3 linked regions of the Drosophila melanogaster genome follow. Changing the gene in region 2 together with the main gene of any one other region gives a genetic interaction. Each region holds a gene or a part of one and is shown on either strand. Other genes may lie near its edges.

Region 1 (6,641 bases), 9.7 Mb from region 2:
GGTCCAACTACTGGGTCCGCCATCCGTTGGTGCACAGCAAGAGGTTTATACTGCAGAACAAGGCCACCTGTTTGGCCGCCGAACTACTTGCTCCGCCGTCTGGGGCCACTGTGCTGGATATGTGCGCAGCTCCCGGTATGAAGACAGTGCACATATGCAATGTGATGCAGAACAAGGGATGCATCTACTCCGTGGAGCAGGACCACGTACGCTACAATACGCTGTGCGAAATAACAAAGGATGCTGGTTGCGATATTGTAAAACCCATTTTGGGAGACGCCTTGAACCTAAGTGAGTTTTATATTTATATATTTCACAATGAATATTTAAAAAAGTAACACGTTTGAATTTCAGCACCCGAACGCTTTCCGGACGTAGAGTACATCCTGGTGGACCCTAGTTGCTCTGGCAGCGGAATGCAAAACCGCATGACCGTGTGCGACGAGCCGAAGGAGGACAAGCGGCTGCAAAAGCTGCAGGGTTTGCAAATTAAGATCCTGTCGCACGCGATGGGCGCCTTTCCGAACGTCAAACGCATTGCCTACTGCACGTGTTCGCTGTGGAAGGAGGAAAACGAGCAGGTGGTGCAGCGTTGTCTTCAGCTAAATCCATCCTTCAAGCTGCTCAGCTGCAAGAAGGCCTTGCGCAACAAGTGGCACAATGTGGGCGACAAGGACTATCCCAATATTGGCAAGAACGTCCTGTATTGCCAGCCGGACAGTGATCTTACCGATGGCATCTTCCTGGCCCTTTTCGAGAAACGCCGCGAGGGCGAAAAGGATTAGTTGTTTCAAACGCAAGAAGGACATTTGTTTCCTTAAATTGTAACCATTTCTTTATTTGGCACTCGAGCCATTGAATTTTTCATTTTCAGAATATGTGTACACATTTTTTAAAAAAATAAAAAAATTATATAATGCTGGCGGTTGTTTCATGTGTGAAAAATTGATCAATGGTAAACAAAATTGAATAAATATATAACATATATATATATATATATATATATATATATATATATATATATAGATATGTGTGTTGAAATGAATACTTGCGATACATGTAATAAAAATACTCTTCGCTTATCTATCAAAAAGTGCGGAATGTCAAAATTTAAAATTTTACAATGAATGCGTAGCCGACGACGAAAGTGTTCCTTGCTATTTCCTTTAGCAAGATTTAAATTTAGATTAAATTCTAATGATACGATTGACAGTTCGAAATTCAAAGTGTTCCTTTTTCAAAATTTAGTAAAGATTGTAGATCAATTGTAGATATATCGAAATTTTTCGGCCGCAAGCGAACATTTTACGAAATGAAGGCGACCAGTTGCAGACCAATTCCATTCATCAACTTTCGGATTGTAAGATATTTCTATCGGCCACGACGATTGAACAAGTATTACGATATTGTAAGTCTTCTTTAACAAAATTAGTTTCCCTTTCACAGAAACAGACATAAATTCTTGAATTATTGACTTGGATTTGAGTGATCGTTCGTTGTCTATACTATAAGATCTATAGGCACGGGATAACGCTCTAAATCTCTTTAAAATCGAACGCGCCAGGCGCTATTTAAACGTTACTATCTATCTATCTGGTTAACCCAGCTTTGATCGGAATGCGTATATATATTTCATGTTATATAAACGCTGCAAAAGCTGCCAGAGCCTCTGCTCCAGAGCTGGATTCGCCCTCTCTAAACCTTCATCTGTTGCTTGTAGTAACTGCTCTTGGCTAGGCGGAACGATTCCGCCTTGATCGCATCCTCCATGGTGATGATCGGCTTCTTGGGGCAGTACTTAATCGTGTGCGCCGAGTCCCCAGATGCCCCGCAGATGGGGCACACGTAGGTGCGTAGTTTGGGGCACAGCACTCGGTTAAAGTTATCTCGCACTGAGTGGCTATTGATAACCGCCTCTGGTTCGTTGTTATTCTCACAAAAGACGCAGTGGCGGCTGATCTGTTGGAGAAACAAGATAACAAATATATTTTGCAAGTTTTAATTCTGCGAATCCTGGATCAGATCCACTCACCTCTTTGGCCTTGCTGTTGTAACGCTTGTACACCTTGTTGTTGTTGTTATTATTGTTACTGGAATTGGAAGCTCCGCGCAGCTGTTCGCCCTGCACGGGCAATCCCAGACCCATTCCCACGCCGAGATTGGTGGACACAGTGGCCGCTGTTTGGGCCTGCAAACCCATTGTATTGGGAGCGGCTGGTATATACGACATGTTTCGCCACACGTTGTTCAGATGCTCCCGGTAGTTGTTCAGCCAGTGGGTGGCGAGTGGAATGGGCATTAAGTTGCCGCCATTGGTCTGCAGCTGGGCAGGATTGCGGCCCAGTGGCAGGTGCAGCCCCTGCTGTTGCTGATGCTGCTGCTGCGGTGGCATTTGCACCTGTGGCGGAGCACTCCCGTAGGACATGCGACCGAGATCATCGCTGGCATAGCCATTGGTCGCGAACTCCTGCATCACATCCTGCATCGAGCCAGCCGCATTTTCTGGGAATAGCAAGCTTTTCATTACCTTGTCCTGAACGTATTTTTTTTATTATTCGCGTTTCAATTGCATTTCAGAAATGTAATAAGCAAATACGGATTAGTTTTTGCATACAAAAAAAAAACAAGAACAGACGAGAAAAAGCAAAGAACTTCTAGAAAATGTAAGACGCAAAATGGCTTTCCGAAGTTAAAACAAAAAGGAATAGCGAAAATGCTAAGGTCAATGGCCGAAAATTCAGGGGCGCTCGAAAAACCTCTTGAAGGGGATACAAGTGTTGGGCAAAGATATATTTTAAAGCACATACAAAATAGTAAAATAAAAAATATACTACACTAAATGGCGAAAATCCTCTGACCTCTGCAGCAATTATACATTTACACAATTTTACTTCTGTTTTGCTCTGTGCTTTCGTTGCCCCTTTAACTAAGCCCATGGCCATTGACTTTGGCATAACTGTACTTGTACAGATAGTCATCTCGCTCCCGCGCACTGTTTTTGGCTATTCTGTTTTAAACGACGCCATATTCGCCATTTCTTCTTACCTGCTGCGCCCGTCGTCACCTGCGCAAAGATTTTCAAGGATCGCGCAATCTCGTCCGTTTGCTGGTGACTCGCACTAGCCGCTGCCGCTGATGCAGCCAGCGCCAATTGGTGCTGCGCCATGGCCAGTTGCTGCTGCTGCTGGAGCAGCAAGTGGTAGTGGTACTGTCGCTGCATAAGGAGCGAATTGGCGGTGGCTGCGCTGTCGGCCAGAAAAGGGAAGTGCGTCGACTGCGCAGACGTCGACGGGTCAGGGGTCACCGGCGTAATGGGCGGACTCAAAGTGGCCGACGAGTTGGCCCCACTGGTATCCAAATACATGTCCTGCAGGCCCAGAATGTTGAGCCCTCCTCTGGCGTGAAAAGCAGAAAAGTTATCCTGCAATTGGAAAATCTTTCCAGACTGAGCCAACGAGGGGGGATTTGCAACACCTACTGCTGCTGCGCCACTGCCCTCCAAGTTGCTGCGGAACATGGCGAAAATCCGGGTCGAAAGTTACGGTTATCGCGCACTCTACTTTCCACAAATCCTCACCCAAAAACCAAGCACAGTTTATTCAACTGAAGTATTCGCGATACTTCTTTATCTAATAATAATGTACATGTAACTAAACTCGCTTTTGGGTTAAAATCGTGACGCAGAGGCAAAAAAAATCGTATGTCCCTTAGACAACTTGAAACAACTGCGAAGCGTACGGCAATTCCAGGAATTTTGTGGTAAAGCTACGCGCCAACTAACGGTTCTTGCTTAGAGGTGGAATAATGTAGTTTTCCAGCGATAATAAATATATCGATATTTTTAGTAAAATTGAAAAGGTAAACTTAATTTTAGAAAATAATTTATAAGAAATTTAATAGTATGCAAAATAATTTTTACTTGCTAAGAATATGTGCCACTAATTAAAAGCTGGACACCGCGCAATGGAAAATAGTACTACAACACAGCAACAAAGCCTGAGTTATCAACAAAAAAATACGAAAACATCTCCCAAAACTAAGCACCCACACGCGCCACTCGCCGTCACAACACAATCACTGCACACCACCATTCGAATTTCGCGCACTGTGACAACATCACATGATATCGGCGCGGCAACATCGGATTACCGACAAAACGAACTATCGCACGAGCCACCGCCGGCGAAGAGCGCTCGTTTTGCAACACCGGCGCGCGCTGAACGAAGAGAACAGCTGACTGCTTGATACGTGCGTGTTTCGCGGCAGGAATTACATAAAGTTTAGAGCCTCTGACGCCAGACCCCCCGAACATTCGCTCCGATCAAACTACCTGCGAACGGTCACCTAATCCCCACCATGGTAGGTTACCTCTGATCCCGGTCATCACTGGCGTTCGCTCACATCCGTCCTTACATGTGCATATTTCGAGGTTAAAACGGTCGAAGCTTTCAATGATTTTTTCTCCTTGCAGTACAGAATAGCTGCCCTTGTGCGGGATCGCGCCTGTCTCTTCACGTGCCAGCAGGCCTCGCAGAACCTGCAGCAGCAGCAGGTTAGAGTTTGGCTCATAAAACCCCATGGCGCAACCGGCCTAAGTCATGACTTTACTCCGCAGCCCCGCTTTTATAGTGCGCCAGGTCGCAGGGCCGGCTTCTTCTCGCAGTTCTTCGACAACATGAAGGCGGAGATGGATAAGAACAAGGAGATCAAGGACAATATCCGAAAGTTCCGTGAGGAGGCCCAGAAGCTGGAAGAATCGGATGCCCTGAAATCGGCGCGGCAAAAGTTTAACATTGTCGAATCGGAGGCGCAAAAGTCGTCTAGCATGCTAAAGGAGCAGCTGGGCGCCATCAAGGAGCGCGTAGGCGATGTTCTGGAGGACGCCAGCAAATCCCACCTGGCCAAAAAGGTTACCGAGGAGCTCTCGAAGAAGGCTAGGGGGGTCAGCGACACGATCTCCGACACCAGTGGCAAGCTGGGCCAGACCAGCGCATTCCAGGCTATCTCTAACACGACGACGACCATCAAGAAGGAGATGGACAGCGCGAGCATAGAGAATCGTGTCTATCGTGCTCCTGCCAAGTTGCGAAAGCGCGTCCAGCTCGTCATGAGCGATAGTGATCGCGTTGTGGAGCCCAACACGGAAGCCACTGGTGAGTCTCCATCTTTTTCCTTCAATAAGATCAAAGGTCATGGCCATAATGTAATGTTACTTTTCAGGTATGGAGCTGCACAAGGACTCCAAGTTCTACGAGTCGTGGGAGAACTTCAAGAACAACAATACCTACGTGAACAAGGTGCTTGACTGGAAGGTTAAATACGACGAGTCCGAGAACCCTGTTATTCGTGCCTCCCGCCTGCTGACCGATAAAGTGTCCGACGTCATGGGTGGACTCTTTTCAAAGACAGAGCTTTCGGAAACGATGACGGAGCTGGTGAAAATCGATCCGAGCTTTGATCAGAAGGATTTCCTCCGCGATTGCGAAACGGACATCATTCCAAATATTCTGGAATCGATTGTCCGTGGGGATCTGGAGATTCTGAAGGATTGGTGCTTTGAGAGCACTTTCAATATTATCGCAAATCCCATTAAGGAGGCTAAGAAGGCCGGCGTGTACCTGGACTCCAAGATCCTCGACATCGAGAACATTGAACTGGCAATGGGCAAGGTTATGGAGCAGGGCCCGGTACTGATTATCACGTTCCAAGCCCAGCAGATTATGTGCGTGCGGGACCAGAAGAGTCAGGTCGTCGAGGGAGATCCGGAGAAGGTGATGCGGGTTCACTACGTCTGGGTGCTGTGCCGCGACCGCAACGAACTCAACCCCAAGGCTGCCTGGCGGCTGATGGAGCTGTCCGCCAACAGCTCAGAGCAATTTGTTTAGCGCGCTGCCACGCCTTTCTTTTTTACCGAGCCGTTTAAGTTTCCCTCATTTTCTCATCCAAAAAACAAACGAAAAGATTACTGGACACTGAGCATTGACGACGAACTGACCACGAACTCGACCCGCAGGAATCTATTAAGTGTGTACAAAGGTTTCGCTTTCGATTGCTTTGAAAGTTTTGTCCGCCACTAGTCAACTGCGTCCGCCCGGCAGGGGCTGCTGGTCGGTCCCGTGAACGATTCCCCCACGAATTCCGGGCACAGCAGACTGCCGGCTCCGGCGCGGCTCATATCCCAAATGACGCCCCGGTTGGCCGTTCCTTGCGGCCACGCCCACCGCCGATCCACTTCCGGCTAGCACGGAAGGAGTGTTCGGTGCGGGGATTGGCCGTCGGGATCGTGGTTCCTCCGCTGGTGTCCTGGCCAAATCTATAACGTTGAAGCTTAAAGTGCAACCGCCGGTGTATAAGGCGTATAAGTAGTGACCATAAGCAAATTGTTGAGTGTAGTTGAGTTTAGGTATTTTAAGGCCCCAACCCTTTCCGACACCCCCCCCCCTCCCAATCCCCACCCCCTTCTCTTGTAAATATGGAATTCGCTCAGGGCGGCTTGGGCATCGTAAATTGACTGTACACACAGAATCCAAAGAGTTGTATGTACGTACACATCGAGCGCCACTCAGAATGTCTAGAAAAATAAAAATACTTCAATATTTTTACATGTACCATTTAAGCAGCTGGCGAATTCTTGTGAAATA
Region 2 (7,998 bases):
TTCCAGGTGGCGGATTTGAAGCGCGAGCTGAAGCTTCGAGGGCTCGCCGTGAATGGAAATAAAACCGAACTGCAGGACCGATTGCAGACCGCGTTATTAGAGGGGGACCTTTCTCTGGAGGATTCGGCCATAGCAGATGCCATTGACGACGACGATGTGTCTTTCACCGACGAGGATGAGCACAAGCTGCTGGGCGATGAGAACGACGATGAGCTACTGAAAAGTCCGGTTAGCACACCCACAACTGTGGCCATTCCGGACCTTCTAGCGGAAGAGAAGACGTCTTCGGCCCCAGATGCAGCTGCGCCGACCAAGAAAATAGTTCTGAAGCGAAATAATTCCCAGCAGTCGACGGGCACGGTAGCCAGCACGGGGACAACTCCATCGAAGGAGAACGAGGCGCCCGCTGCAGCTGCTAGTGACTCCACCGGCGAAACTCCTACCAAGAAGCATAAGCCGATTGTGGTCGGACCAAAGACGGAAGGAGAGAAGCCATCAGGCGACAAGAAACTTAACCAGCTGACTGCACAAGAGCGATTGGAACTGCGGGCCAAAAAGTTTGGCATAACACCCCCCGCTGTGGCCAACACTGCAACCGCAGTGGCAGTGGCCATCAATAAATCCTCTAGTGCCTCCATTACGGCCAACAAAGGTAACAAGGAAACCGAGGAGCAGCAAAAGGAGGCACTCAAAAAACGTGCCGAGCGTTTCGGATTCGTGGTGCCTGACAAAGCACCGACCTCAAAGGCCGATGATCGTCTCCAGAAACGGAAGGAGCGATTTGGAGCAGGAGCAGTCTCAGCAGCTACCACCACGCCTACCACAACTGAATCCAAGGACGCCTGGTCAGAGAAGGCGCGCGCTCGCTTGGAAAGATTCAAAACAGCCCCGTCCACAAATTAAGAAAAGCGAATATAATTATTTAAGCAAGCAAATACAATTGTAAATCATTTCGGGAGTAGGCCCTATCATGTATCAAACCCCAAAGCCACCAATGCTTGTAGTAATTAAGCAAAAATTCAATAAACACAAAACATGACCACTGAAATTCAGGGTTTACATTACTTTATTTCGTTTAATTCAAAGACTTAAAAATAATTTGAGTCGCGTCTTCGGTTTTATTGGGGCATTTTTTTTTTTTTGGAACGTCAAAATTCATATTAGTTGGTATAATATTATGCGTTAAAATATATAAAAGTTATTCAAATAAGTGGGTGCAAAATTAATTCCGTATTGCGAGTCAAATAAGGAATATCAGCTCATTTCATTGGTCATCGCGCTGTTTGAAGTGTGAATTGGCGACAAGAAACGTAGAATAACTTTTGAACTGAATTGCCTGACTTAAAAGTATGTTACTTTAATGTTGCGCCCATCCAGACGGGAGCCATCCATAAGCGCTGAAAAGACATTGGAGTTCAGCAAAAATAAAGGAATCGCCTTTTGAGTATTACTTACCAATGGCTAGCTCGGCATCGCGCTCCTTAAAGAAACGCACAACGCCCACATCATTGCCACGGATTTCCGCAAACTTAACGTCCCCGATCTCTCGGAACTTGTCGCGCAGTGTTTGCCAAGTGCAGGTTATTGGAACGTTCTTGATAATGATCGTGTCCGACTTTCGAGAAGCACCGACAGCATTGGCCGAGCCAACGTTGGAATTGCCCACGTTGCTGCCGCCGCCATAGACATCCAATGGATTGCCAGTGTTGTAATCGTTGCCATCAACACCAACTCCTCCGTTGCCGCCGCCCATTCCACCAGAGCTGCTGTAAGCATTGTATCCCAAATTGCTGGAGCCGCCACCGCCGCTGTAGTTGTTTCCAGAGCTATAGCTATTGCCACCACCGGTGCCGCCGCTGCTGTAGTTGTTTGAAAGACCCACATTGCTTGGCGGCAGGTTGTCATCATTGCCGGAGTTGCCCAGATTGAGACCCAGGTTGCTCAGCGAAGAGGACAGCAAGGGATTGCTTAAATTCCCTCCCTGGTTACCAAGATTGCCGACCACGGCAGCCAAAATGCTGGGATTCAGATTGTTTAGGTTCAATCCGCCGGAACCGGTATTGTTTCCTAGGCTAGGCTTTTGCACCGGAGCTACAGGCGATGGCTGCACTGCCGCATGATTGCCAAACATAACGCCGGTCAGGTTGTTAAGCAGGTTTGTCGTGGCGTTGCTAACAGCGCTGCTGTTTGGTTGGCTACCCACCGATCCCAGCTGAGATCCCTGCTGAGCGTTGCCAAGCAACTGGCCCTGGCTCTGACCACCATTGGGAAGGTTGTGAGCCACGTCCCTGAGTGGCTCGCCGTTGGGTCCCAGGCCGATGCCCACACCTCCCAAGCCCTCGGGCAGCTTTATGCCTTCATTCTTATCCGGAATTCGGTCCAGGCGCACGGTCATACGACGGTCGAATAGCATCTGACGATCCAGCATGGAAATGGCCTGAACAGCCTCCACCGGATGGTCGTACTCGATCACAGCAAAACCGCGGCTGTTGCCCTCCTTGTCCAGTGAAAGGTCTACGCTCTGCACCTTGCCGGCCAGCTTGAAGACCTGCTTGAGCTTCTTGTTGTCGACCTTGTAGTCCAGCTGCAGGGAGTTTTAAGAAAGCGAAATTAGCAGTTTGTCAATCCCATGGTTTGTCCACTGAAATAGGTTCGAAAGTTGCCCAATGTTGATACCACTGCTGTCTTTGACAAAACCATGCTGCAAAACTATGCTGACGATAGACGAGAATCTCAGGAGAATCAGTCCCGCACACGTGCCCAGAAACCAAACGGAATAGCCCAGAGACGACGTCGAATTTTAAAACACCCGTAACTGCTTCATATTTATAACCCTTGAAAACGAGGTGGTTTTCGCGGAACATCTTATGTGAAAAGTGTAAAAGAGGCAAAAACGCTGCAACCAACAAACAGTCAAGGACCTTCCAAGAGTCATTGCAACTACAAACTAACCAATTATCATTAAACAACTTAACCGAAACAAAATATGTGATATATCGAAAACAAGATTTTACGTAGCCCAATTTGTTGTTGCCGCTTAAGTCCGCTTTCTGAGTAGAAAATATAATACTTAGGGTCCATTCTGCAGTTATGTTATCAACTAAAATATATTCATTGTGTAGCGATGTAGAAGAGGGTATGTGTATGTCACATCGAGTATTCAGTGTGTTTCCCAGGACTTCCAAGTAGTTCCACCCAGTCTTTCAAACACATCAACGTATACGATTCCATCCGAATTTTCGAAAACGGGAAAGGAACGAACATATGTCAAAAGGGAAAGGAAACCGTGGAGTTGTCATTACTTTGGGTCGACTGAGATGAATTTAAACAAGTAAACAGTATCTTCTGGATGATGTGACCTAGGCGGGTTATAAATACGAAGCAGAGACCCCGAAGCAAGAACAGAACGCAGCATATTTGTAGTGTGGTCCGGTCCAGTTGAATAATATACATAGGATTATTGGAATTTTATATTACAATATACTCACATTAGCAACAAAAACCTTATTATGCAAAGGTCCACTTATGCCAAGACTCTCCAAAAACGAAGCAGAAAGCCCATACAAATTGTAATTCGACGAATTATTATAATCATTTGACATCATGTTAAAATTATTACGCCCAGATCTAGAAAAAGAGAAGCCAGATTTCCAGAGAAAGATAACAAAAGGCACAAGTAAACTTCAGCTACGGAGAAGTGGGTTTCCAAGAGAGCCGCAGGATATTCCGACGCGTTCACATTTTCCCTTATGTTAAACATTTTATACCCTTTTTTTCTCTTCAGGTCCTGTCTTAAACTATCTTTAAATTTGAATTCCGATTTTTTTTTTTTTTTTTTTTCAAAAACAGCACAAAACTGTTACTCCGATGTATTTGACAGACTTTCCATAAATCCTTGAGCGTTTAGACAATTTGAACAAATAAAATTCTATCAGCAGCAAAAAAGCAAACGCCTGCTGTGATCAACCTTCAAACTCAACACTAAACATAAATAATTGACTTGAGATCGAAACGGAGCACTTTAATAATGAAAAAAATCACTAGATAACCATTTAGAGAACTAAGAGAACGGAGATTTCGTTGTAATCAGATGAACACAAACTGCATATATTATATATATATATATATATATTTGCATTACAACTAACTGATATGAAGAGTACGACTGAACTCGTAGCTAATATTAATGATAATTTTCGGCATGTTCCCCTGAATAAAATTTTATATTTATTATATCAGCGATCAGTAAAATTTTCGAAAGAAATATGGTTAAATTTAATACGAAACCCTTAAGGAACCACGATTAACTCGCAGTACGCACCCTGGGCTGAATGTAAATCGGGTTGTCACCTAAATGATGCACAAACGACAAAGGAAACTCCTTAAAATAAAAAATTCAGTTCGTACGTGATAATAGGAACTTTAGAATGCAATATTCCTGACCTACATACATATATATGAAAAATCAATGCAGAGCCGCAATCGTTGATACATTTAAAATGGAACCACTGCCAGCTGGCAAGTTTCTAAAAATTGAATAGTATATGCGTGCCATGAACTCAGCTTTCCTGCTCCAGAATATCGGAAAAAAGTGCACATACGTATAGGATATAAGCGTAAAGGGAATACTCACAGTCTGTCGTCGTCTCGCCGGGAGAAACCCCGATCGCGGTCATCCATGTGGTCACGGCCACCGCCGCCACCTCCTCCATTGTTGCCACCATTGCCTCCTTGTACGCCGCCACCGCCGCCTCCACCACCACCACCATCTCGCACAATGCGTCCGTATTGATCGCGCTGCTCGCCGTGATCCTCCTTGACCACCAGTTCGCGGCCATTCACCTCATAGCGGTTCATTTTCTCCAAGGCCTTCTGTACGTTCTCCGGATCCTTGAACTCTACGATGCCACAGCCGCGAGCCTTGCCGCTCTCATCGAAGAACAGCTGGACGTACTCAATGGAGCCGACGATGCGGCGGAACAGATCCTTCAGATCCTGCCAACGGTAGTCGTATGGAATGTTCGAAATGTAGACCCGGCAATTGCGACGTTCCCGGCTACGGTCGCGAGCAGCGACGCCACCTCCCTGACTACCAGCGCCGTTTCCATTGCCATCAGCGTCCGTGAAACGGGAGCCACGTGCTCCGCGTCCACGACGGTCGCGCTCCTTCTCGCGGCTCTCCACCGAGTTACTAGCGTCCATGCTCATTGTTGTCTGCAAGGGATTCGCAATGCGTTTTGTAGTTCTTGCAATATTCGTAGTAGTACACACCCGGAGCGGCGTCCGCGAAAACAAAATGGCGACCGCGTCAATCGACTTTTTCGCCAAATGTTCTTTTCTATGCTAGCGTTATGGCTTACCTTTTGATGTTGGCTGTGCTCTTAATACTGGTAATATTTCTATTTTGCTGCTTTCGGCGTAGTAAATTTTATACAATGAACAAACGCTTGTGACAAACTACAGTTTCCGAGATCAATAGAAAACCGTACAAAAGTCTATGTTAGAGTTGACAGTGATACGATGACAGCACATTCATCGATGGTTTGATATTTGGACGTGTCTCAGATTTCTATCGACTAGACATCGCCGATATTCGAAAATGCTCTTCGAATTATCGAAATGTAGGCATACTGCAATTTACGCGCGCAACGCAAAAATTCAAATAATAGAATATTTGGCTCAACAAGACAGGAGACTTTAGATGGAAAAATAGAATCCACAAAAGCAAAACTATGGAATAACTAAAACCACTTTTCATAAATAGTACACACAATCGATTTATTTCGTTTCTTTTTGTATGGCAAAAATTAATACAAAAAATTAAATATTAAATGTATGTATGTATGTATAAAAAGCTTAAAGCAAACTATATAATGTAAATTTAATTGGCTGTTTGTTTTCTCTCCGATTGATCTGTCAGTATGGTAAGTAGAAAGAAAGGCAAATCTCAAGAACTCATACGGATTATAATTTCATCATCGTAGCACCACAGATATGTGTTTAACCGAACATAAATCTAGTTTGGGGCTAGCGAATTTACTCGTTTGTGCGAAAGTTGCTGTGAGCTTATCGGCTTTTGCTTGTTTGTTCTCTAATGATGAATACTAATGGAATTCTGCTCGTGCGTGTGTGCGAAAAAAGATTACATTTATGTATGACTGTCGGGTTGAAACCAATAGATAACAGGGCTGTAAAAATACACAATATTTGTTTACATCGCGTTTCGGTTTTAAGCACGGAGTATCTGTTGAAGTACAAACAACATAGAATCAAGTTAAGTGCTGGTTGAAAACAAACGGATATAGCAGCTGAACCAAGGCAGTTACAACAGTATTCATAGTTTTTATGTAGAGGTACATATTCATTTTCATTTTCGATTTGCTTCGTTCGTTTTTGTTTGCTTGTTATTGTTAATACTCTTAAAAGGGCGCCTCGCAGCCTTTCAAACGACACAAAACACACACATTCACAAAATCATTTCGACGTACATAAAACTCTAGTTACTTAAATTAATTACAATTTCTCTTCTTTTATCTGACAATTGCACCGACCAACACGCTCCCACATGTGTGTGTTTTTCGCATTGTGTGTCCAAAATGGACAAACCATCGAGCCCAGGACGATCGGCGATTCGCCGACGCACATACAGACAAACAGGCGACATTTGAAGAAATAAAAAGTGAATAATAACCAATGCGTGGCCGTTTAGAGCATTTTACATTTAAATCTACGATTCGGCTTGTTCATTTTGCGGCCCCTCCGCCCCTTGTTGTCCTTGTCCTTGCGGATTTCGCGCACCAGTGTGTAAAATGCATCGTCCACGCCCATGCGCGTCTTGGCGGATGTCTCAATGTATGGAATGCCGTACTGTTTGGCCACCTGAGAACAACCATAATTAACGGAATGTTCGCTCGGAACTCTGAAGGCCGGTACTCACCTCTCTTGCCTGCTCGTTGTTAACGTTCCACGAGGCCAGATCACATTTGTTGCCCACCAGCACCATGGGCACCTCTTCGGCATCCTTTACGCGCTTGATCTGCTCACGGTAGGTGCCGATATCCTCGAAGGACTTCGCACTGTTGACGGCAAAGACCAGCAGGAATCCCTCGCCAGTCCGCATATACTGATCCCGCATGGCCGAGTACTCCTCTTGGCCGGCGGTGTCCAGGATGTCCAGCAGGCAGGTCTCTCCATCTGCAGGGGAATATAAAATGCATTTGAATATCGCAACTTCTTAAGGTCTCTTCTAGTATAAACGGGAAACCAAACCAGCGAAAGGGTGCAGAAATCTCTAGAGTATTTGGACCTGTGCAGCCCTAGCTTTGCCAGATCTAAGTACATATAACTCACCGATAACCACTTGCTTTCGGTAAGAGTCCTCGATTGTGGGGTCGTACTCGTCCACGAAATGGTTCTGGATTAGCTGGATGGTGAGCGCGGACTTGCCCACGCCTCCGGCTCCAACGACGACCAGTTTGTATTCCGTCATTTGGCTGTGGCGTCCGTTTTCGATTTGCCGTAGTCAAATGTCACAGTAACAGTCTCTTTCTCGCGATCGATGCTTACTCTCTTGTGAAGCGCCCGCAGATGCAGTCTCTCTCTCCGTACGCTTGTTGCGTGTGTTTGTGTGGGTGACTGTGCGTGTATGGGCTGCAAGTGGAGTAAATTATTAATTAAGATTGATTAAAATAAATTAAACGCATAATTAGGCAGGAATTAATGCACGTCACTGAGTCACTGTGACTAGGCGCTTACTCGCACAAACACACACGCACCACTGCATGCACACAGCCAGACGGGCAACACAAAAAAAAATGGGAAAAAGAGATCAATGACTCAAACTAAAATTAAAACCCATTCGCTCAATGCAAATTAGTTAGTCTCCCCCATAGCCGAGTTGTTAACTAGGTGAATTTGCTAATTCGGCGGCGTTGTTTTTAGCCCTTTTCTTTATTATTTTTCTTTTGCCTGCCGGGGCTGCGGACCTTCTTTGTTGCT
Region 3 (7,752 bases), 5.1 Mb from region 2:
TCCACCTATCCGGGTGCTAGGATCAGTACAAGGCAGGAGCTGCATCAAACGCCCATGTTGCGCAACATTGACTTCCAGAGGGTGCTCGAGAAGAAGATCAAACCCATCTATAAACCTCCCGAAGACCACCTCAACTGTGATCCTTGCCTAGAACTGGAGGAAATGATTGTAGAATCGCGGCCCTTGCATAAAAAGAAGAAGCGCCTGGCCAAGCAGAGGTCAGCACAACGCGACAGCGATCCAGAGACTGCACTGGTCAAAGAGTTCATCGTTTACAACCGCTACAAGGAGTTGAAGCGCAAAGCCATGGAACAAAAGGAAAACGACTGGCAGCGCGAACTGGAACTGGCCATGGCCAACTCCATCGTGAACAGCTTGGCCCCCATCCAAGAGAAACCCGCCGCCTGCGTTGTGCACGACGGCGACTGTGCGACCGCATCATCCGCAGTCGCCCAGTTAAAGGGCGAGAGTATTGAGTTCATTGATCGCACTCCTTCACCGCAGATTAAAGAATCGGCTGGCAGCAGACTTGACATGCCGCAGAGTCCGTTTCAAAAATAAAACCTAGGACGCGGTTGATAAGCAACAGGTTTCAAACTGCACAAGAACCAGACCCACTTGCGCAACGATGACTTGTCAGCCATCCATCCATAAAGACCAGAACCTATTTTTCGAACTCCTGTAAACTTCATTTTGTGTACATGCGCATATTATATACAGAACTATGACATTTTATAACTTTTAAATAAAATAGGTCTAAGCTACCTTTGTACATATTAGATTTAAGTCTAAAAGCAAAATAAACGGGTAATTTTCGGTCAAGTTTATTTTTACGATTTTTTTAATTTTTATTTCAAGTTATATTTCATTCATGTTTCATATTTTTTTTTTGTAATGCCTTTTGTGTATAAAAAAAGGGTAAATAATTATGTTCTGCCTTGTATAATTATGTTCTGCATTGTATAATTCTTGCTTTCACACATTTCTTGTTCTTCTGTTAAAAATATTATTAAATTTATTGATGTTTGCGGTGAAAGTTGGAAAAGACTAACCAAATGCAACATGTAAATATTTTGTTAATTCATTTTTTCTTACTCGCGGTATTTCTCATTTATAGGGCATTCCTATTAGTATTACATTTTAGAACATTACTTCAACTTCAACGCACTCAACTTCAAGCCCTATTACTAGCAGCTCAACTGCTTAACAGAGATACAGCAAAACGATCTTATTGCTGAGGTGTGAAATCAAATTAACAAATATTCAGAAGTTCTAATTCAGAATTGTAACAAGTCACAAGAAGTTAGTAAAAGGATTATTTAGAAGAAATGGTGTTCCACTTTGCATTTGTGGAACGAGTATTTCTGCAATCGTTTTAATTTTCTTAGGCAAAAAACAAATGCAATTGTTTAGAAAAAGCGTCAATGATTTGTGTTCTCGTTAGAAAGAGTTGCGTTTGATTTTCTTGTTGGTTAGAATAATGACGGAGAAGAAGAAACTACAAGCTGCAAAACATGATATTCAGTGTATGCACAAGTGTAATTGCCAGCGTGTATTTAGTGAGTGTGTATTTTGAGTGTACTTTGTGTTTGTTCGGAGTTCGCTTTCTATTTGTTTTTTGTTTGGTATTTCCCGATTTTTTCTAAACAAAATGTTACTTTTTTTCGTTGAACTCCAAACATTGCGCTGTCGGCGGAAGTCCGCCGCGACCGTTCATTGGCTGCGCCAAGCGCAAAGTCATACTATACTGTGGTGGTGTCGACAGCTTCGATGCGTGCACCACCCACGTCGCCTCCTGCCACAGTTACGGCCTCCCCTCCGTTTTGCGCGTCTGCTTTTCCATCCTCGCCTGCACCGGCATTGGCACCAGTGGAGCTAGCACTTTTCTTCTCGCCAAATTGGATCAGTTCTACGTTGACGAGAATAGTCTTGGTCTGCACAGGCGTTGCAGTCTCAGCTGACTCTGCTTTCTCACCGCCCTCCCCTGCGGCGGCAGCTGGGGCTGTCTCGCCACCAGTGGTAATGGTGAGCGAGAGATCGTTGAGAGACTTCAACACCTTGTCCATGTCGTCCTGGGTACTGGGAACCCCCTTGCGGTTTCCAAAGTGCAGGAAACACTTTCCGAAGTGTCCTAAAGAGAAGGTATAGTTAGCGTAGAGCTTTTAAACCAAATATAAGTGACATACCCTTCCAAGAAATTGACATCGGAGTGCATTCGCGTTTGCGGAGCTCCGACTTTAAGTCCTTGACGCGAATATCACGAGACAGATTTGTCAACTTAATGCAAAAATCACTGTTCTTGTTCTTCTTTGAACGACGCTCATCAGTGCCAGCCTCTGGTAACTTACGATCATCAGTTTTAGCACCTGCTTCCACACCAGACTGATCGCCCTCAGACTAAAATTACGTTGATTAGGCTGGCTTCGGCTGTCATATTTAAGCTACTTACCTTAGTTGTACGTCTGCGGCGATTGACGAAACGACCTTTGCGCCGCGGAGTGCGTTTCTGAGCAGTCTCCTAAAAATGCAGAGTTAAAAGTTACTCAATAGTGCCGACAGTGTGGTGGATTCGACTTACGCCCTGCGGCTGTTCGTTGTCAGTCTGCGAAGTGGTGCGACCTGGGTTTCCTCGTTGGATGCGCCGGCGCACAGGCCCACGGCGGCGTCTGTTGTTTTGATGTTGCTCCACATCGGTGTCTTCCTCCTTGAGGGATATGGATTTTCCCGCCTTCTCCTCCCTTTCCTTAAGCTGCTGCAGCACGGGCAATATTTTTAGACGGCGCTCGGACAGCAGCTCCCAGTAAACGCCATTGGGGAAAGACAAGCGCTTTGGCACCCTGATTATTTCTGTGGGTGTTGCAATGATATCAACTGGCGTATCGTACTTCTGGAATAGATTCGGGGGCAGTGAGTCCACCACCTGCATGTCGTGCACGATTGTGACAATAATTGTCTTCGGTGTAATGGCTCCCAGTTCAATAAGGAGGCCGATGTCCAGATCAGCGAAACCATTTCCGCGTCCAATGCGGTAACCCTCGCGTGACACTACAACAGAGCCAATAACCACGATGTCCAGCTTCAGACCGCTGTCCAATCCAATTTCCGAGCGAAACTTTTGAATATCTTGAACGCGCAGAGCCTCCTTTTTCTGCTCCTCGGTGGCATCGGCCAGCACATCTACCTTTAGGCACAGTGCAGAAGATTCGCGGGTGCTGGGCAAGTATACGGACTTGTCGGCCAGCAATGCCAGTTCCTTAAACTCATGCAAGACGCGATCGATGTTCACCTTGATGTGCTCTGCAATACGGGAAAGAGTGATAATTGGTGCACTGAAAACGGGGCTGTGGTACTCCCTTACGTGCTTTCTTGAACTCCTCTTCATTGGCAAACAAGGCAGCAGCCTTATCGGCACCCACGAACGAAGGAATTCGGTTAAATATGTTGTTGAATCCAATGCCAACCTTGCCCTCTTGGATCTTTTTCCAGGTCTGCACGCGCAGCGAGCGCTTTGTGGGCTCTATGGGCTGAGCTGTAACGACATGTTTGTTACAATAATATGCTCCAATAACATAAACAGATGACTAAAAGAAACATATTTTAGTTTATTGCAGCGGTGAGCTCATTTGTATTTGTGTTAGTGATAGCTAGCCTTCATTAAATCAAGCCACATTCCATTCCAGAGCTGATCTGTAGGTATGATAACGTGCGGACCCAAGCGATTCCCCAACTTCTCGGACATGTTAGTTTTTGTTAGGGGAGGTTGACTGTAAAAGTGCGAATCAAATGTGCTGAATAGCAACACAGCCGCTGCCCTTATCGTCTGTAATGAACGCGTGTTATCACGCTAGTTGGCGCTGGACTAAAAGTGATACCGCGGCTGATATACCGGTTTCCACGCCCAGTAATCAGATGTGAAAGTGACCCAAACATACACCAGCAAACGCCGGCCCGTATCATTGAAAACAAAAATCTGCATGCAAAATCGGGACGGCAGGGTTGCCACCTGTGCTGGTTAAAGAACACACGTCAACATGCATGTGTGTGCGCTTGTTGAATTGAAACTGAAGTATGAATTGGCCGCTAAAACTATTTCGGCCGTCTTTCTTGGCGGGTTCAATGAGAAATACAAATTAAGAACCCATATCCCGATATTAACGCATGACCAATAAGTTGGCAACGCTTCGACACGCACACACTCGCACGCACACATTTCTGGGCGATGAGCGCATCGACTCGCGAATTTCTCAATTAATATGTATTCGTATGAGCAGTGCCGCGAGCGTGTAGTGGTGTCGGGCAGCGCGGGGCGCAAGCGAGCGGGTGAATTGACACTGCGAGCACAGAATCTCGAAATCGAAATCGGCCAAGAGCACCGAAAATGATTCATTTCACTTTTTGTAATTGTGGGAAGAATGCGCGCAAAGATGACGTAATTAGTGTCAACAACAAGCAACTTCGGCGTTTCGGCAACTCTTATTTACAGCTAGGGTCTCCTAGAAATAAATATGGCGGAATTCGACAATCTTCCGCTTCTACACTGGCACCTAGAAAATGGCTGAATCGGGCACCTGCCCCTCTGGAACATGGGTATTCACTTTGGATGCCCAGCGAGCAAGGCGCGGCGCGGCGCAAAACATTTATGGAATCACCAGCACTCGCGAGAATTACACGCAATTTTCGTCGGCGAGCGGGCGGGGTAGTAGGGCAGGCCACTTACTTGTCGAAGACACCTCCTGCGCGGTGTTTCCGCCGTTCTCCGCGGCGACAGCGGGGGCTGCGTTGCTTTGGTCCTCCATCGAATCGCTCGCCAATTGTGTTTTAGTTCTGCTCACAATTTTTTACCGGCTCAGGCTACGGCTACACAGTTCACAGTTCACAAGCAACGTCTACCGTTCTCCGCTGGCTTCCAACAAACCACGTTTGAAAATTGACGTTTCTCTGGTGACGTAAAAAAACATCGCCGATGCGATACATCGATACATTTCGTATAGAGTTGCTTGCGATGGTTCTAGCTAAAAATATAATAAAAGTTATACATCTGAGCTTATACACGCCACCGACAATATACATTAGATCTACATGCAAGTCCATCATCTTTTTTCGCTTCAATTGTTATATATTATTTTAATAAACATCGAGTACCACCCAGATAGTTCGGTAAAATTGTAAGCTGTGATCACTGCGAATAAGGTATTAAAAACTAAAAATAGATAAATTTTATATTATTTTCTTTATTTATGTTTCTTGTAGATAAAGGAATCGAAGGATAAACTATAATTAACACAGGCTCCTGCCCCGGCTTAGGATTTTCTAAATGTAACTCTTCTGCAAGGTCCCTAAGGAATGTTTTATATAAAAATATAAAAGAATCTTTAGTGATGCGACTAAGACTATGTAATAAACAAAAAAAACAAGATGGAATGCTATAGTCGAAATCCCCGACTATCAGATACCCGTTACTCAGCTAGTGTGAATGCGAACGCGAAATTTCATTAAAAAAAACAAGAGGGAACGCTATAGTCAAGTTCCCCGACTATCAGATACCCGTTACTCAGCCAGTGGGAATGCGTTTTTAGGGCGTTAGAATGGGTGTGGTAAAAAGTTTCTTGGCAAATCGATAGAAAATTTCAAGACTAATTAAATTATGAAACAATATCAACACATTTTTTAAAAGTGTGGGCGTCACAGTTTTGTGCGGTTTGTGGGCATTAGAATGGGCATGGCAGCATGGGTCAACAAACGTGAGCCGCGTCTCTAAAATCTGTATGCTTAATCCCAACCTCTAGATTTTATAGTTCCTGAGATCACGACGTTTATACGGACAGACGGATAGACTCGGCTATTGATCCGGATTATATATAATATATATCCCTTATATAGTCGGAAACGCTGCTATCTGCCTGTTACATACTTTTCTAGTACGAATCTAGTATACTTTTTTACTCTACGAGTAAGGAATAAGAATAATACACACGACTTTAGAAATTCAATCCTAATACTGTTTATTTTATAACCTACTATTAAACTTTTAAGTATGTACAGTCAATAACAGTAATATTAGTGATAGGTGCCAACCAAGATATCATCGTATGGCCTGTGACATGTGCAATGGGGTCACCATTAGGGTAAGCTCCGCGTCCTTTAAATTTGCCCCACGCAAATTTGCCTCCTGCAAGTCGCTGCCAGAAAGATTGCATTTTTCCAAGTCGGCACCTGCTAACACCGCAGCTCGCAAATTACAGTTCTTCATATTGGCGTTCTTCAAATTTGCCACACGTAAGTTAACACCGGCCATGTTGCTGCTTTCCAAACATGCTCCTTTGAGGTTAACACCCTCTAGATTAGTTCGAACTCCTGTTGGGTCTTCAAAATTACACCCACGCAAGTTTGCACCTTCCTGAAAGATTAGGCAGATTAGTTTTCTTAGCTAATTGGATGGCGTAAATCTGTTACAACTAGTTTCACAAATGATGTGATTATTTAATAGCGTTTTCTGTTAAACCTGTGCTTACCATATTGGCGCAAAGTCCCCGCACTGACACTAGTTGGGCACATTCCAAGTTTGCGTACTGAAGATCCGCCCGTTCAAGACAGCAGTAGTTAAGATTGGTGTGGGACAAATTGCAGTGAGACATGTTGGCATACTGTGAAGGAAAAGGGATAGTCTTTAGTATAATTATTGTCTTCAACTTGATAGATCTCCACCAATAATTTTCCATTTTTTTCCGGACGAAAATATCTCCTTTACTGCGTAGCAAACTACAATAATATTAAAATGCAGTCGTGTTACGGCGTTGGAAAGACTTAAAATGTTGTATTACACAATGTATGCATTGAAATGAAATTCGTTTGCGCACACCTTGAAGTTAATGTTGCGAAAATCTAGCTTTCGTAGATCGGCCCCAGACAGATTAACGCCTTGAAAGCGCAGCTCCGTTATCACGGAGGTCTGAATGATGGCCTTGATGACGTCGTTGCGCGTCAATGGTCTGTCCCCCAGCGGCGTCTCCTGCTGTCCCAGGCGTTCCTCCAAATGGGTGACAAGCGAAAAGATTCCGAAGAACCGCGCCTCCTCCAAAACACCCAACACACTGATGTTCGAATCGCATACGAATTGTCCGTGGCGGAGGTAGTTGATGATCGGCTCGAAATATCGAGGACTTCGATCAATCAGGTATGCTCCCTGCTCGTCACGCTCGCTGGGCTTCATGCTGCCATTTTGCAGGAACATCCTAGCAAGCATTGAATCCGGTTCTCTGCCCACCAGAGTGTCGATGGTAGTGGCGTAGATTTGTCCACCCACGTTCAGTTTGACCCAACGATTGGGAGCGAATCCGCTAGCGGCGACGAAATCGCCGGCTGCCGGTGCGGCGTCGTCTTTTCTGGCTCCGGAACCACTCTCCTTCAGATCACTATTCATTTGATTGGGAAGTTTAAAAAATTTCCACAATGCCTGGCAATTCTCAGCTGCTTTATCTTCCCGTTCTTCCCCCGTCATTCCATTAAAGTCGTCGATTAGGGCTGTTCACACGAGGCCGCAACAGCAGCAGCGTTACATTTAATAGTTGTGTGAATTATGAGATATTGGTGAATTTAGCTAATAATTTAAATTAATAATTTAACGAAGAGAAGAAATAGCTCAAATAAACAATTATCAGAAAACTGGATATGTCTTATCTTATTACTGTCCATTAGCTACAAAACATATTATTATTTGAAATTTAATATTCATATAACGATGATTTAATATTC

What was found.
Region 1: of rump (region 2) and nanos, changing one enhances a phenotype caused by changing the other (phenotypic enhancement), as found in Drosophila melanogaster (2 studies listed by BioGRID).
Region 3: of rump (region 2) and lost, changing one enhances a phenotype caused by changing the other (phenotypic enhancement), as found in Drosophila melanogaster (one study listed by BioGRID).

The regions. Positions count from the first base shown.
Region 1 is NT_033777.3:19,154,377-19,161,017, reverse strand, and holds nanos (nanos), read right to left. Parts: upstream 3,781-6,641; 5' UTR 3,518-3,780; coding exon 3,046-3,517; intron 2,503-3,045; coding exon 2,033-2,502; intron 1,960-2,032; coding exon 1,696-1,959; 3' UTR 1,409-1,695; coding exon of another isoform or gene 1,313-1,408; 3' UTR 816-1,312; downstream 1-815. Other genes in the region: Nsun5 (Nop2/Sun-like domain containing protein 5), read left to right, coding at 1-291, 355-785; CG11779 (uncharacterized protein), read left to right, coding at 1,313-1,408, 4,472-4,552, 4,616-5,153, 5,221-5,885. UniProt on the Drosophila melanogaster protein: Maternal RNA-binding protein that is required for germ cells proliferation and self-renewal. Acts by forming a complex with pum and brat that regulates translation and mRNA stability.
Region 2 is NT_033777.3:9,504,803-9,512,800, forward strand, and holds rump (rumpelstiltskin), read right to left. Parts: upstream 5,523-7,998; 5' UTR 5,361-5,522; intron 5,215-5,360; 5' UTR 5,209-5,214; coding exon 4,634-5,208; intron 3,628-4,633; coding exon 3,489-3,627; intron 2,585-3,488; coding exon 1,456-2,584; intron 1,398-1,455; coding exon 1,342-1,397; 3' UTR 1,051-1,341; downstream 1-1,050. Other genes in the region: CG8149 (uncharacterized protein), read left to right, coding at 7-903; Ras85D (Ras oncogene at 85D), read right to left, coding at 6,706-6,879, 6,938-7,194, 7,351-7,489.
Region 3 is NT_033777.3:4,400,246-4,407,997, reverse strand, and holds lost (lost), read right to left. Parts: upstream 4,923-7,752; 5' UTR 4,797-4,922; coding exon 4,718-4,796; intron 3,530-4,717; coding exon 3,359-3,529; intron 3,298-3,358; coding exon 2,579-3,297; intron 2,519-2,578; coding exon 2,450-2,518; intron 2,398-2,449; coding exon 2,187-2,397; intron 2,132-2,186; coding exon 1,743-2,131; 3' UTR 816-1,742; downstream 1-815. Other genes in the region: CG32944 (uncharacterized protein), read left to right, coding at 1-561; CG14647 (uncharacterized protein), read right to left, coding at 6,083-6,397, 6,513-6,644, 6,860-7,420.